Oryctolagus cuniculus: one gene and its partners. The protein of the gene in region 3 purifies or fractionates together with the protein of the main gene of each other region. This does not show direct contact. Links are inferred from orthologs where the notes say so. Each region holds a gene or a part of one and is shown on either strand. Other genes may lie near its edges. The genes, in order: PPFIA1, INTS11 and PPP2R1A.

Region 1 (5,260 bases), on a different chromosome or scaffold from region 3:
AAGTGGAGCAGCCGGGACAGGAACCGATGCCCATATGGGCTGCTGGCATCACAGGTGGTGCCACTCCTGGCTACATCACAACGCTGGCCCCCAAATGTCATTTAAAAAAAAAAAAAAAAAGGATTCTTTTATATACTTGAAAGGCAGAGTTACAGAGTCAGAGAGGGAGGGAGAGGCAGAGAGAGAGAAAGAGATCGCCCACCTGCTAGCTCACTCCCCAAAAGGCCACGACAGCCAAGGCTGGACCAGGATGAAGCCAGGATCCAAGAACTCCATCCAGGTCTCCCAAGTGGGTGCAGGGGCCCAAGCACTTGGGCCATCGTCTGCTGCTTTCCCAGGAGCATTAGCAGGGACTGGATTGCAAGTGGAGCAGCCGGGACTTGAACCAGCGCCCATGTCAGCCCTGCAGGCAGCAACTTAAACAGTGGCATCGCAGCACTGGGCCCAGACTGCATTCCTAGACTCACCACTGACCACTGTCTCCAGGTACCAGCAAATGGCCACTGGCCGTGAAGTCCTTCACCACCCTCTATTCTTTGCAAGAAATGTTAACAACAAGCAACAGATTATCTTTCAACCAAAACCAAAGACTGAACCAAGGAGCAGAGCTCCAAGTTAAACCAAAATCTAAACAATCAAAACCTTAAGTTGAAGTGACCCATGCTCTCCAACACAACATTCTAATATCATACAAACTTTCCACAGCCCGGGAAAAAGGTCTTTCACTTGACTAAAATTCATTAAAGCCAGACAAAGGTCTGTGGAACCCGTCACCTGTCGATGCATGGAATCTTTATTTGCAATCTCATTTTCAAGTTTATCGTTGAGGTCGTGCACAGATGTGGCTTCACGCTGCGCCGCGAGGTAGCGCTTCTCCAGAGTCGTGATTCTCTCTTCCATGTCTTCCTTTTGGGCCATGGCCTAAATGAGGTATTTCAGAGGGGAAAAAAGGTAGAAAATAAATATCTAACATTAATATACCTGAAAGGAAAAAACTGGACTAACTCTAGATTTCAAATTACATATAAAATTAACATCCACAAAATTAAAGTGACAGAGATGCCAATTTTCTCAAATGCTGGTTAAAAAAAACCCAACCTAAAATATAAATACCCACGTGTACGACCAGCAGAGATCTGTCTGAACATTTGGTTATCAAGCTTATCCTTTGTGACAAGATATTACAAAAATCCAAACGATGCAACTCTGCAGCACGGCCAGAATTCAGGAGGAAAAGGAAGATGCGATGAGGAAGCAGGCTAGTCCCAGATGGCTGACACGGGCACGTGGGCCTCTCGACAGACGAAATCGCACACAATCACAGAACTCAAGCACATTAACAAATGGACCAGAAGTCGAAATTCAACTTAGACCCAGCTACTAAAATTCATAGCAAAACTGACCTCGGGCAGGCGCCGCGGCTCACTAGGCTAATCCTCCGCCTTGCGGTGCCAGCACACCGGGTTCTAGTCCCGGTTGGGGTGCCGGATTCTGTCCCGGTTGCCCCTCTTCCAGGCCAGCTCTCTGCTGTGGCCAGGGAGTGCAGTGGAGGATGGCCCAGGTGCTTGGGCCCTGCACCCCCCATGGGAGACCAGGATAAGTACCTGGCTCCTGCCATCGGATCAGCGCAGTGCGCTGGCCGCAGCGCGCCGGCTGCGGCGGCCATTGGAGGGTGAACCAATGGCAAAAGGAAGACCTTTCTCTCTCTCTCTCTCGCTGTCCACTCTGCTTGTCAAAAAAAAAAATAAAAAAATAAAGATTAAAAAAAAAAAAAAACTGACCCCACACAGTGCCCAACATTTACACGCTTCTGTACCAGCAAATCTGTCCTCCACCCAGAATCCCACTGTTCTTAGGAATGTCTCTATTTACTAAAGCACTAATGTTACTAAGGTCTTAATACTGAAATGAACAGACTTTAATTATGAGAGAGAGAGAGAGCGCGCACGCGAGCACGTATCAGCGAGCAGGCTCCCGTCCGCTGGTTCAGCCCCACGTGCCTGTGACGGCTGGGGCAGGGGCAGATCCACACCAGTAGCCAGGAACCTAATCCAGATCTCCCACGCGGGTGACCAGGAGTTCACTCCTTGAGCCAGCACTGCCACCTCCAGAGCCTGCCCTGGTGGGAAGCTGGAATGAGGAGCCGCAGGTGGTTCGGAACTCGGGCACTCGGATGTGGCATACGGGCATCTCCACCGCTATGCCAAATGCCTACCCCTGAAAGCAACTGGTTTTAAAAGAATTCAGGACTGTTTGCCACACAAATAATCTCCCACAGCAGCCAAGTAACATAACCCAGGTCATGTAGCCAGCAGATGTTCATCCTGCCTCTCCATTCTCACACTGCGCACAGGAAGCCAGCAAACTGAAGTGCAGCCGTGCACCTGCTCAGCTTCTGTGTCAAGTGCAGAGTCTCGGGGCGGGCGAAGGCCAGAGCAGAGCGACTCAACGCGGGCGTGCAGCCTGGTGGTCGAGAGGCCTGGGCTTGGTTCCGGGCTCTGGCTCCAGCTCCAGCTTCCTGCTAACGCAGACCCTGAGAGGCAGTGGTAAGAGTTCAAGTGACTGGGATCCTGCCACCCACACGGGAGACCTGGTGGAGTTCCAGGCTCCTGGCTTTGGCCAAGGCCATCACAGTACTTGGGGGAGTAACCAGCATATGAGAGCTCTGCCTCTCATTCTGTCTGTCTGCATCTCAATTTCTTTTAAAGTTACCAGAGAAAGTAGCCAGCTCTCATTTGCTTCTCATAAAAACAATGACAGAGTTCCCAGCAAATAGTTACCAAGCAAAAAGGTTCTTCAAAAATGCAAAATTTAATGGTTTATATATTGATAACTCAAGTGTAAGAAAATCCCACATTCATTACTCACCTGAATACTGACCCCCAACCCTAATACTCACAGTCATCCCCCTGCACCCGCACTGTTCACCTGCTATCCGATACCCAACAATAATACTCAGTCATCCCCTTGAACCCCATGGTTCACCAGACACCCGATACCCACCCTCACACTCACAGTCATCCCACTGCACCCTCACTGTTCACCTGACACCCGATACCCACCCTCACACTCAGTTGTCCCACTGCACCCTCACTGTTCACCTGACACCCGATACCCACCCTCACACTCAGTCGTCCCACACACTCACTGTTCACCTGACACCCGATACCCACCCTCACACTCAGTCGTCCCACTACACTGTTCACCCGACACCCAAACCTCACACTCAGTCGTCCCACTGCACTCACTGTTCACCTGACACCTGATACCCAACCCTCACACTCACAGTCGTCCCACTACACTCACTGTTCACCTGACACCCACCCTCACAGTCAGTCGTCCCACTGCACTCACTGTTCACCTGACACCTGATACCCACCTTCACACTCAGTCATCCCACTGCACCCTCACTGTTCACCTGACACCCACCCTCACACTCAGTCATCCCACTACACTCACTGTTCACCTGATACCTGACACCCACCCTCACACTCAGTCATCCCACTGCACTCACTGTTCACCTGACACCTGACACCCACCCTCACACTCAGTCATCCCACTGCACCCTCACCGTTCACCTGACACCTGACACCCACCCTCACACTCACAGTCGTCCCACTACACTCACTGCTCACCTGATACCCACCCTCCCAGTCACAATCATCCCACTGCACTCACTGTTCACCTGACACCCACCCTCACACTCAGTCGTCCCACTGCACCCTCACTGTTCACCTGACACCTGACACCCTCCCTCACACTCAGTCGTCCCACTGCTCTCACTGTTCACCTGACATCTGATTTCCACCCTCACACTCAGTCGTCCCACTGTACTCTCACTGTTCACTTGACACCCGATATGCACCCTCACACTCACAGTCGTCCCTTGTATCTGTAGGGTACAGATATCCACGGAAACCAACATGCACAGACGCTCAAGTCCCTCATCTGAGATGGTGCAATGTCTGCACAGAACCTACGCATACCCTCCCACTTCTAACTCATGCAGATGACTCACAACCACTCACACAGTGTTCCTGCTGTGTACACAGTTGTTGGGCTGCAGTGTTTAGGTAGTGAGGAGAAGTCAGTACATGGTCAGTACAAATGCAGCTGGCTGAATCTGCAGATGTGGGACGCCCAGATGCAGAGGGCTGGCCGTGCTGCTGGGGTCAGGGAGTCCCCTGAAGTGCACCTACAGCACACCCAATGCCGACTCTGACCTCTAGCTAAGTGTGCATCAGGAGAGCATCTGAACGTAATGAAGACACAATGACACCAGCTGTCCGCCCGCAGCCGCAGGACGCGGGCGGCGTTTGGGGGTGAGCTGGGGCAGTGGCCCGAGAGTCCCTCAGCACTCCCTGCTATTTACACGCTCATCCACGCTCGAAAGCAACTGGGAGAGGACGGACAAAAAGGAGCCACACGATCTACTCCCCTACACAGCCCATGCACCCCACCACGGCAGCGCCTGCCGTCACTCACTTCACGGACGTCTCGCTGCAGCTTGGTGTTGGTCTCCTCGGACTTGATGAGGTCCTTCCTGGCCGTGTCCAGGTCGTCCTCCAGCTCGGCCACGTGGGTGCACAGGGCGGCCAGGCGCTCCTTCATCTGGCTCTGCTCTCTCGACTGCCTGTCGATGACCTCCTGGAGCTCCAGCACCTTCGCCAGGTCCTCCTCGTGGCTCAGAGAGCCGTCCGAAGACCTCTGGCGGGAAAGGGACAGCATCAGCATCCTCGACGGGCGCCACGAGACAGGCAGGTGCAAGCACAGAGCACGTGTGTGCGAGCTGCGTGACTGCGCATGCAGCAGGCGCTCTCCAGACAGCCCCGCCCAGGGATGGTGAACCTGGCGTGCGGACTTGCCTTTCCGTTTGTGTGCGGCACGTCCTCTTGCTCGTGGTTCACGTCCGGCACTCCCTCTGCTACTGTTTTTTTCTGGTTATTCTGTTCTTTAAGAATCATTAGCTAAAATCAAAACATTGAATGAGAGAGTAAAATATCTTACAGCAAACAACTAAGTAGAGACAGAAACACTTCTTCTGGAAAAACACAGCTATAAACTGATAAACACAGAAGAAAGCCTGTGGCAATGTAACGCGTCCTGAACGTAACAGATGAATAAAAACGGGCTCGTTTACATACAGCAAAATGGCACTGGGGGCTCTGCCTCCAGATGACCCGGCTAGCCCGCGCCTCGACAGAGAGGAAAGGCCACTTTGCGGTCCTCACTCGCTCGCTCCGCAAAGGCAGACATGAGA
Region 2 (5,132 bases), on a different chromosome or scaffold from region 3:
TACTACGCGGGCCACGTGCTGGGGGCAGCCATGTTCCAGATTAAAGTGGGCTCAGAGTCCGTGGTCTATACGGTAGGTGGAAGGCTGGGGGCGGGGCTTCCCCGGGGGCGGGGCAGCCTCTTCATCGCCACTTCCCCACAGGGCGACTATAACATGACCCCCGACCGGCATTTGGGGTGAGTCCCACATGTACCTCGCCCATCCTGGGGGTGAGGGTCCCGGCCCCTGCTCAGCGTGCGGATGTCCCCTGTGGGTCGTCCCCCCTGGGGACTTGGGGCCTAGGTGCTTGAAGGCCCGAGGCCCAGTCGCTCGGGCCCGTGCAGTGCTGGACGTCCGTCTGTTCCAGAGCTGCCTGGATCGATAAGTGCCGCCCGGACCTGCTCATCACGGAGTCCACCTACGCCACCACCATCCGCGACTCCAAGCGCTGCCGTGAGCGGGACTTCCTCAAGAAGGTCCACGAGACCGTGGAGCGGGGCGGCAAGGTAGCCGCCGTCCGGCCAGCTGCCCGGGCCACGTGCTCCGGGGGCGGCCGCTGGAGCCCTTCCCCGTGGTCCCCGGCGGGGGGTCGGGGGCACTGCACACCCTCGCACGGGCAGGGCTGCCTGGCCCCGCTGGGAGCAGGCTCCAGCCGTAGGACCGGCTGTGCCTTGCTGCTGGGTGGGAGCCCCGCCTGAGCGCCCCCGTCCTGCAGGTGCTGATCCCCGTGTTTGCGCTGGGCCGTGCGCAGGAGCTCTGCATTCTGCTGGAGACCTTCTGGTAGGTGGGCCAGGGCTCTCCCGGCTCCGCTGGCGTCTGCTTACTGTCGGGGCAGTGGGGGCTGCCCCAGTCCGGGGGCCCCGTGTTGTCCCCATACTGGCCATGTCAGGGCCCTCGTCAGCTCCAGCGCATCACAGGACACAGGCTGGGGCATCAGCCGGTGGTCACAGCAGCGGGACCGGGCTGGGGTGGCCACGGGTGTGGGGAGCGGCCCAGGCCTGCGATGGCTGTGCTGACCGGGCTGGGGTGGCCACGGGTGTGGGGAGCGGCCCAGGCCTGCGATGGCTGTGCTGACCGGGCTGGGGTGGCCACAGGTGTGGGGAGCGGCCCAGGCCTGCGATGACTGCGCTGACCGGGCTGGGAAGGCCCCGGGTGTGGGGAGTGGCTCAGGCCTGCGATGACTGCGCTGACCAGGCTGGGCCCACAGGGAGCGCATGAACCTGAAGGTGCCCATCTACTTCTCCACCGGGCTCACGGAGAAGGCGAACCACTACTACAAGCTCTTCATCACCTGGACCAACCAGAAGATCAGGAAGACCTTCGTGCACAGGAACATGTTTGAGTTCAAGCACATCAAGGCCTTCGACCGGGCGTTTGCCGACAACCCTGGGCCCATGGTACTGCCTCGCCGTCCACACACGGGCTCTGCGTCCCTCTCGGGGTGGGGGTCCCTGCTCGCGGGCGGGTCTGAGGCTGTGCCCGAGGGGCGACTGCTGCCTCACCCGCCCCCCACGCTGTCCGCCCTGCAGGTCGTGTTTGCCACGCCGGGCATGCTGCATGCCGGCCAGTCCCTGCAGATCTTCCGGAAGTGGGCAGGAAACGAGAAGAACATGGTGAGGGGCTGGGCCCAGGTCCAGCTCCGGGCGGCCCAGGCTGGGCAGAGGGGGCACAGGCATTCCCACAGGCCGGAAGGACGGTCCTCTCCACTGCCCCCACTGCTGCAGGGCGGCTGGGGCAGCTGGGGTTCAGCGCCCGTCAGGCAGGAAGGCCCTTGACTGCCGAGGCCTCCACGCGGTCAGCCTCCGGCCCCGCCCCCACCCCGCAGGTCATCATGCCTGGCTACTGCGTGCAGGGCACCGTGGGCCACAAGATCCTGAGCGGGCAGCGCAAGCTGGAGATGGAGGGGCGGCAGGTGGTGAGTCCCCCCCCCCCCGGGCTGGGCGCGGGCTGGGCGCAGGCGACTGAGCTCCGCCCGCGGCCCCGCAGCTGGAGGTGAGGATGCAGGTGGAGTACATGTCCTTCAGCGCCCACGCCGACGCCAAGGGCATCATGCAGCTGGTGGGGCAGGCGGAGCCGCGGCGCGTGCTGCTGGTGCACGGCGAGGCCAAGAAGATGGAGTTCCTCAAGCAGAAGATCGAGCAGGAGTTCCGTAGGCTGCGGGCGGGGCGGGGCCGGGGTGGGGCCGGGGGCGGGGGGGCTGGGGGGGCCCTGGGGGCTGAGGGGCTGGGGCCGGGGGCCAAGGGGCTGGGGAGGCCGGGGGCTGGGGGGGCCCGGGGGGGCTGAGGGGCTGGGGCCGAGGCTGAGGGGGCCGGGGAGGCCGGGGGGGGGCAAGGGGCGGGGCCGGGGGCGGGGGGGCGGAGGGCGCTGGGGGGGCCCGGGGGCGGGGGCGGGGCCGGGGGCTGTGCGGGAGGGCTGGCTGCTCTGCCTCAGGTTCTCTCTGCACTGCCCCCGGCCAGGAGTCAGCTGCTACATGCCCGCCAACGGCGAGACGGTGACGCTGCCCACAAGCCCCAGCATCCCTGTGAGCGTCTCCCTGGGACTGCTGAAGCGGGAGATGGCACAGGGTACGCGTGTGTGTGTGTGTGTGTGTGTGCAGGGGCACAGGGTGCACACGCGTGTGTGTGTGTGTGCAGGGGCACAGGGTACGTGTGTGTGTGTGTGCAGGGGCACAGGGTACGCACGCGTGTGTGTGTGCGCAGGGGCACAGGGCACCCGTGTGTGTGTGTGTGTGTGCAGGGGCACAGGGTACGTGTGTGTGTGTGTACGCACACGCAGGGTATGTGTGGGGGCACAGCAGAGCCAGGCCCACCAGCAGACCCTCCCCCCCCTCCCCCGCAGTGCCGCTCCCTGAGGCCAAGAAGCCGCGGCTGCTGCACGGCACCCTGATCATGAAGGAGGGGGTGAGTGAGCCCTGCGCGGGGCGGGGGGGGGGGGGGCTCCTCTGCGCTGACCCTCCCGTCCCGCAGAACTTCCGGCTCGTGTCCTCAGAGCAAGCCCTCAAGGAGCTGGGCCTGGCCGAGCACCAGCTGCGCTTCACCTGCCGCGTGCACCTGCACGACACGCGCAAAGAGCAGGAGACGGCGCTGCGCGTCTACAGCCACCTGAAGAGGTGCGCGCCGCCCCAGGCCGGGCCTCCGCACTGCGCCCTCGGACCCCTGCCCAGGCCCCGCCCCCACAGCCCCGCCCCCAGCGTCCTCAGAGACCCCTGCCTAGGCCCCGCCCTCACAGCCCCGCCCCCAGCGTCCTCGGAGACCCCTGCGTGCCGCCCCGCCCCTGCCGGGCCCCGCCCCCTGCGTGCCGCCCCTCACGGCCCCTCCCCGCAGCGTCCTCAGAGACCACTGCGTGCAGCACCTCCCCGACGGCTCGGTGACCGTCGAGTCCATCCTCATCCAGGCCGCCGCCCACTCCGAGGACCCCGGCACCAAGGTGCTGCTGGTGTCCTGGACCTACCAGGTGAGGGGGGGGTCTCCCGGGCAGCCCCTCCCCACCGCCGGCTCCGCCCTGGGGGCAGCGGCTGACCCCGCCTTCCCGCCTCCCCACAGGACGAGGAGCTGGGCAGCTACCTCACTGCCCTGCTCAAGAAAGGCCTGCCCCAGGCGCCCAGCTGACCCGCTGCTGCGGGGACCTGGGTGGACACAGCCCGCACCCAGCTGACCTGCTGCTGCGCCCGGATGGCGGGGGCCTGGGTGGACACAGCCCGCGCCCAGCTAACCCACTGCTGCGCCTGGACGGCGGGGGCCTGGGTGGACACAGCCCACGCCCAGGTTTGGTCCCACATCTGCTCAAGCGGCATTGCTGGCTGAAGACATGGACAGGTCGGCCTCCGGGGCCTCCTCGTCTTTTATTAACTCGACCTCTGGGCAGTTCAGTAAAGGCAGATGGAGCACGGGCGTGGCCTCCTTGTGCACGGTGGGGGGGCCGAGGGCATCGGGTCTCTGCTGGGTGCAGCAGCCAGGCTCCGGCTCTGGCCGGGCGTCCAGGGTCACCTGTGGTTCCCCGGGGCAGGACCTGTGGGACGGCCCGTGTCAGCTGGAGGCGGGTGTGGCCTGGGCCCTGACCACCACCCCTCCACTGCAGGCCGCGTGCTGCGAGCAGGGCTCCCCGCAGATGGCCTTACCCGGGTCTCCCAGGTCCCCGTACTGCACTGACTTCAGAAACAGACCGTGGGCCGGGACCACGCGAGCCTGGTGCTTGCCCAGCGGGTCCCGGCTGTCCAGAATCTCCTTCACCTGGGCGGGCGCCAGCGACCCCAGCCCCACTGCCACCAGCACGGCTGTCATCCTGCGTACCTGGGACCCGAAGCCAAGGCTGGCACTGGCGCTGCCCCCGCCCCGCGCCCCCTGGGGCAGGCACACCCCACCCACCCCGGCGCACCTGTCTGTACAGGAACGACTGGCTCTCAAACTCCAAGCTCCAGAAGCGCAGCCTCCTAGCCAGAGACGCTAGATGTCCAGGGCGGCCCCAGCTGACCACCAGCCCCCAAGTCAGCCAGGGCAAGAGGCTGACACCAGGCTGGGGTGCCTATGGGGCGGGCACTCCTGCCAGGATGCCCCTCCCCAACCTGGTGGGCTGTGGAGGCCCCTGGACAGTGCCAGGGGCAGTGGTGTCCACCCAGCTGGGCTGCACCAGGCCTCCAGCCCCAAGGAGGCCTTTCTGACAGCTGCCAGAATCCCCCCCCCAGAGAGCCCAGGTCGCTACACCAGAACAGCAGCCAGGCCCCGGGCCCGCCCTGACGCCCTGAGCCGCGGCTCCTCACCTGCTCTCCTGGGGGAGCGCGAAGGGGCTGGCGGGGGCGGGGGACACGGACACGCGGCGCAGCGTGCGCACTGGGCTGCCGGCCGGGCTGCCGGCCGACCGGAAGGCACTGAAGTCGTGCGTCCCGAGGAGGTGCTGGGCAGCCTCCTGCATGGCCGCCACGTCCAGGCGGCTGTGGGGAGCCGGGGTCAGCGGGGCGGGCCGGCCGCTGGGACCCGCCAGCCCCCCAGCCTGACACTCACTCCGCGCGCAGCGGCCAGCACAGGTTGCGTTCAAACACGGGCAGCTCAGCAAGCTGGCGGCAGCCGGTGGCCAGCCGGTACAGGTAGGTCCTGGACGTGGCAGCGTGGCGAGCGTGGAAGTCGCTGGGCACCAGCGAGGCCTGCAGGACCCTGTGG
Region 3 (5,260 bases):
ATCACTCTGAATAACAATTCTCACAAGGAACAGCAGTCTGAAAAGGTGGGGTAAGAAGTCCCACATTTCACAGCATGAGTATGGGGCTAAAAGGTGGCGAGCGACTTGCTTAAGCTTTGCCAGCGAGGAGGGTGAGCTTCTCAACCAAGTCTGCCTGCCTGGTGGCCCTGTGGCTCGCCACTCTACCTGCAGCCCCCCAGGTGACCTAGTACATCCCCTCCCTACTCTGTACTTCTCTACTGTTTTAATAAGCAAGAAAGCAGGGCCGCAGGAGCACCCCTTGGCACGGGGCAGGGACTCCGGATGCCCCAAATACCTCATCCAAGGGGTCCACCCTCTAGGAGCTCCTATCTCCACTTTGCTGTCTTCCAGGAGGTACTCACCGTGATCCACGAGCCAGGCCATGCACAGAGAGTTGAGTTTCTCATCAAAGAACTCCACTCCCTGCAGAAGAACAGGAGGTTAGGGCTCAAGGGAGAGTTGCCAGTGATACTCCAAACAAACTATACCTGCCTCAGAAAGACCAATTGCCCCTCAAATCCACCTGAGGCGTCCCTTTCCGTCTCTTACTGAATCCTATTACTCATCTTTTAAGAACCTATATCCTGGATCTCTTCTTTCAACTCCTGGGCGGCTGTCATGGACTGCCCTGGCTGTATGGACACACGGCACGGAGCCCTCCCCTGGGCAGCGCCACCTGGGCCCAGGCCTGCGTACTCACCAGCTGCCCAGCTAGCAGGGGCATGTACTCAATGATGGCCAGCCGCACCCGCCACTTGGCATCCTCAGCCAGCTCCACGATGGCAGGCAGCAGGGACTGGGACAGCTGCCGGATGCCGATCACCTCGTTCACGCAGTCCAGGTTGGAGATGATGTTCAGTCGCACTTCAGGGCACTAGGACAGGAGGGTTCTGTGTGAGTGACTGCCACAGGGTATGTGTCAAAGGCTACAACTGGACAATCTCATCAACGTGTTCCATCAGAGGTGAAGACGGTCCGTAGGGACAGGCGTGTGACCTGGTGATTAAAAGCCCCACATCCTGGATCAAAGTGCCCGAGCCTGATGCTCACCTTTGGTTCCTGACTCCAACTTCCTGCTAAAGCGGACCCTGCAAGGCTGGGGTGATAGCTTAACTAACTGGGTTCCTGCCACCCATCTGGGAGATCTGTACTGAATTCCTGACTCTGGTCAGGCCTGATACTGGCTACTGCGAGCACTGGGGAGTGAGCCAGTGGATATGACAGCTCTCTCGCAAATAAAAAATAAAAACAGGGAAGTCAAATAAGCTAGTCGGCAGCCTTCCTCCTCCACCTAGAATGCTACGGCAGCCTTACTTCAACCTCTTCTTTTTTATTTTATTTTTTCATTTTATTTATTTATTTATTTATTTATTTATTTTTATTTTTTGACAGGCAGAGTGGACAGTGAGAGAGAGAGACAGAGAGAAACATCTTCCTTTGCCGTTGGTTCACCCTCCAATGGCCGCCGCGGCCGGCACGCTGCCGTTGGCGCACCACGCTGATCCAATGGCAGGAGCCAGGTACTTATCCTGGTCTCCCATGGGGTGCAGGGCCCAAAGGACTTGGGCCATCCTCCACTGCACTCCCGGGCCACAGCAGAGAGCTGGCCTGGAAGAGGGGCAACTGGGACAGAATCCGGCGCCCCGACCGGGACTAGAACCTGGTGTGCCGGCGCCGCAAGGCGGAGGATTAGCCCAGTAAGCTGCGGCGCCGGCCTCAACCTCTTCTTAGTCTCAGTGGTCCTTTCTAACACTGATCCGTTCTAGCCCCTCTTCTTGCCTAAATTCAAGCCCAAACTCCCCAGTCACCACCCAGCACCCTCTCATGCTCTGTAGTCCAGGCCAACCGAACAGCTAGGTGTGGTCATGCGACCAACTCTGGCCCATGGGATATGTGGGGTATAAGCTGCCGTGATGGGCCTTGTTCTCAAGAGGAGTGGCCGGCCACTGTGTGCTGCCTTTGCCTTTCCTGGGGCCTGGGGGACAGTAAAACACTAGGGCAGTCACCGCAGACACAGGGACTTGAGGTTGCCAGGGTTAATCCACTAGTGTAGGGCCACCTGGACTGCTGTGAAGAGCAATCTTCGGTTTTATTTAGGACACTGAATCCCGAGACCCCGAGTACGGCACTGTGGTCCTCACAGCACCTACAGCACCTTCATGGAACCCTGCAACCATCCATCGGCACGCTCCACTGCTAGTCTCTGAGGATTCTTTTCTTCAGATTTTTATTCTTTTTTAAAATACATAGTAAGAATATTTCATTCTTTTTCTCATATTCCTAATGCCCAAGATAAGGAGCAGCACAGAGCTGAGGACACAAAATAATGCTGACAAGTGAGTGACCTCTGTGTACACGGTTGTACACTCATCAGCTGAGCAAAGCTCTGGGGGTCTGTTGCGATTCTAGGAGAATCCCAGCTGATGTGAGCAAGCAGCTGGCCCTCCCGTCCCTTCTGCAAACCCGGAGCCGAGGTCCCGCCTGCACCCTTACCTCATCCTTCAGCTGGGCCAGGAAGAGGGGCAGGAGGTGCTCGATGGTGTTGTCCTTGCCCAGGATGGGCGAGAGGCCCATGATGACCGAGGCCAGCGCTGACTTGACGTGCTGGTTGGCGTCTGACACCAGCTCCTGCGAGGAAGAAGGGGTCAGGGCGATCTCTGAAGCACCACACGCCAAACGCACATCAACTTGTAGGAAGCCTCAGACAACAGCTTGCTCTTGCCCTGTCACTCAGAGCAGGGTGAGCTGACTCTGGGGGACATTCAGTTCCTCAAATGTCCCACTGACTCAGAGTTTGATGGTTCCTGCTGCTAGCAGCCCTCACCCCAATCCAACAGTTCTATGGGTAAGGGGACTCCGAGACCTCCAAGTCAACCCCAAGCCTCAGATTTTGCCTGCAATCAAGACCTCAGTGGCTTCAAACCAAGGACTGCCTGGTCCCAAAGGCTGGAACCCAGTTTGCTTCTGGATGTCCCCAAGCCTCCTGACACCACCCCCTCTTCTTGGTAGGCTCAGACCTGCTCCATTCGTCCCCAACTCTCCGTTACCTTGATGCAGGGCAAAATCTGGGTCATGATCACATTCTCCCGACAGTCGGTGGAGAGATTTTCACAGAACTCTGGGTGGGGAGAAGGAAGGGGGAGGGTGGGATGAGACCCAATGGCCTAGTCCACGTGCAGTCCCTCAGATACCCACCCGACTTGCTGTGTTCTGGTCGCCAGCACCAACCTTTGACCTTGTGGGAGGCTGCGGCCCTCACCTCGGCCTCACAGTCCTTCATCAAGTTCTGGAAGGCAGGGACCAGGTCTGTCTTGGTGATCTCAGGCCCCACTGCTTTCTGGAGCTGCACAGGAGAAGGGAGATGGGGAGTGTGAGAGGTCAAGTCAGTTAAAGGCATGGGGGTCAGATAGCAGGGGAGGGGCCCTGGGGTCACCCTGAGAAGTGCAGACAGGTGGATCAGAGAACAGGGGAGGGGCCCTGGGTCACCCCTGAGAAGTGTAGACAGGTGGAGCAGAGAGCAGGGGAGGGGCCCTGGGTCACCCCTGAGAAGTGTAGACAGGTGGAGTAGAGAGCAGGGGAGGGGCCCTGGGGTCACCCCTGAGAAGTGTAGACAGGTGGAGCAGAGAGCAGGGGAGGGGCCCTGGGTCACTCCTGAGAAGTGTAGACAGGTGGGGCAGAGAGCAGGGGAGGGGCCCTGGGTCACCCCTGAGAAGTGTAGACAGGTGGAGCAGAGAGCAGGGGAGGGGCCCTGGGTCACCCCTGAGAAGTGTAGACAGGTGGAGCAGAGAGCAGGGGAGGGGCCCTGGGTCACCCCTGAGAAGTGTAGACAGGTGGAGCAGAGAACAGAGGAGGGGCCCTGGGTCACCCCTGAGAAGTGTAGACAGGTGGAGCAGAGAGCAGGGGAGGGGCCCTGGGTCACTCCTGAGAAGTGTAGACAGGTGGAGCAGAGAGCAGGGGAGGGGCCCTGGGTCACCCCTGAGAAGTGTAGACAGGTGGAGCAGAGAGCAGGGGAGGGGCCCTGGGTCACCCCTGAGAAGTGTAGACAGATGGATCAGAGAGCAGGGGAGGGGCCCTGGGTCACCCCTGAGAAGTGTGGACAGGTGGAGCAGAGAGCAGGGGAGGGGCCCTGGGTCACCCCTGAGAAGTGTGGACAGGTGGAGCAGAGAGCAGGGGAGGGGCCCTGGGTCACCCCTGAGAAGTGTGGACAGGTGGATCAGAGAGCAGGGGAGGGGCCCTGGGTCACCCCTGAGAAGTGTAGACAGGTGGAGCAGAGAGCAGGGGAGGGGCCCTGGGGTCATCCCTGGGAGCTAACGCAGTGCTGTGGTGTGACCTCAGGCAACGGTCTGCGTCTCAGCTTCCTTGGAAGCAAAATGAGAGCTGCGCCTTCCTCAGGGTAGTTTTCCTTACAAATAACAACAGATCTCATTGTTCAAGCTATTGTGGGCTGGGTTTTCTGTTAGTGGATTAAAAAAAAAAAAAGTTCTAATGATACTGTGGATTCTTTTTTTAAAAGACTTATTTGAGAAGAAGAGTAACAGACACACACAGAGAGGGAGAAAGAGATCTTTCATCTGTTGGCTCATCCAGATGTCCCCAAGAGCTGGGGTTTGGACAGGACAAAGCCAGGAACTCCATCCAAGTCTCCACATGGGTGGCAGGGACCCAAGTCCTTGGGCTATCATCTGCTACCTGCCAGGTAGCGGGAAGCTAGATCAGAAGCACAGAGTAGCCAGGAGTTGAACTAGGTCCTCTGTTATGGAAGCAGGCATCCCAAGCAGTGGCTTAACCTGCTGAGCCACAATTCCTACTCCCTTACTTTTTGATTTATATTTGTTTCTATTTTTTTAAGATCAGTTAACAGAAGCACAAGTTAAGTTGAATAACTCTAATCCCAAAATCCAGAATGTTCCAAAATTCAAAGCTTTTTGAGCACAATGTGATACAAGTGGAAAATTCCATATGAGGGTGCAGGGGCCCAAGCACTTGGGCCATCTTCTACTGCTTTCCCAGGCCATAGCGGAAGCTGGATCGGAAGTGGAGCAGTCAGGACTCGAACCAGCGCCCATGTGGGATGCCGGCACTGTAGGTGGCAGCTTTACCAGCTGCACCACAGAACCGGCCCCCACTTTACTAATAAAGTTCCCTTGAGTTGACCTTCCCCTGTATAACACCTGCCCCTGAAGGCCAGGAATGTGGTGAATTCACTGCACCCCTCAGAGCTCAAAGACCTGCTGCTCCC

The links.
Region 1: the proteins of PPP2R1A (region 3) and PPFIA1 purify together in Homo sapiens (affinity purification with mass spectrometry; 7 studies listed by BioGRID and IntAct, with this or other methods). This does not show direct contact. The link is inferred for Oryctolagus cuniculus from reciprocal best matches to the Homo sapiens genes PPP2R1A and PPFIA1.
Region 2: the proteins of PPP2R1A (region 3) and INTS11 purify together in Homo sapiens (affinity purification with mass spectrometry; 3 studies listed by BioGRID and IntAct, with this or other methods). This does not show direct contact. The link is inferred for Oryctolagus cuniculus from reciprocal best matches to the Homo sapiens genes PPP2R1A and INTS11.

What each region holds. Positions count from the first base shown.
Region 1 is NC_091432.1:2,275,194-2,280,453, reverse strand, and holds part of PPFIA1 (liprin-alpha-1), read right to left. Parts: intron 4,968-5,260; coding exon 4,866-4,967; intron 4,708-4,865; coding exon 4,486-4,707; intron 922-4,485; coding exon 775-921; intron 1-774. UniProt on the Homo sapiens protein: May regulate the disassembly of focal adhesions. May localize receptor-like tyrosine phosphatases type 2A at specific sites on the plasma membrane, possibly regulating their interaction with the extracellular environment and their association with substrates.
Region 2 is NC_091438.1:164,190,770-164,195,901, forward strand, and holds the end of INTS11 (integrator complex subunit 11), read left to right. Parts: coding exon 1-72; intron 73-141; coding exon 142-176; intron 177-346; coding exon 347-485; intron 486-694; coding exon 695-759; intron 760-1,186; coding exon 1,187-1,376; intron 1,377-1,508; coding exon 1,509-1,592; intron 1,593-1,804; coding exon 1,805-1,894; intron 1,895-1,965; coding exon 1,966-2,128; intron 2,129-2,435; coding exon 2,436-2,543; intron 2,544-2,817; coding exon 2,818-2,879; intron 2,880-2,945; coding exon 2,946-3,088; intron 3,089-3,302; coding exon 3,303-3,432; intron 3,433-3,521; coding exon 3,522-3,587; downstream 3,588-5,132. Other genes in the region: PUSL1 (tRNA pseudouridine synthase-like 1), read right to left, coding at 3,556-3,987, 4,354-4,408, 4,736-4,906, 4,977-5,126.
Region 3 is NC_091449.1:6,440,369-6,445,628, reverse strand, and holds part of PPP2R1A (serine/threonine-protein phosphatase 2A 65 kDa regulatory subunit A alpha isoform), read right to left. Parts: intron 3,365-5,260; coding exon 3,250-3,364; coding exon of another isoform or gene 3,217-3,249; intron 3,140-3,216; coding exon 3,069-3,139; intron 2,679-3,068; coding exon of another isoform or gene 2,650-2,678; coding exon 2,515-2,649; intron 896-2,514; coding exon 722-895; intron 445-721; coding exon 384-444; intron 1-383. UniProt on the Homo sapiens protein: The PR65 subunit of protein phosphatase 2A serves as a scaffolding molecule to coordinate the assembly of the catalytic subunit and a variable regulatory B subunit.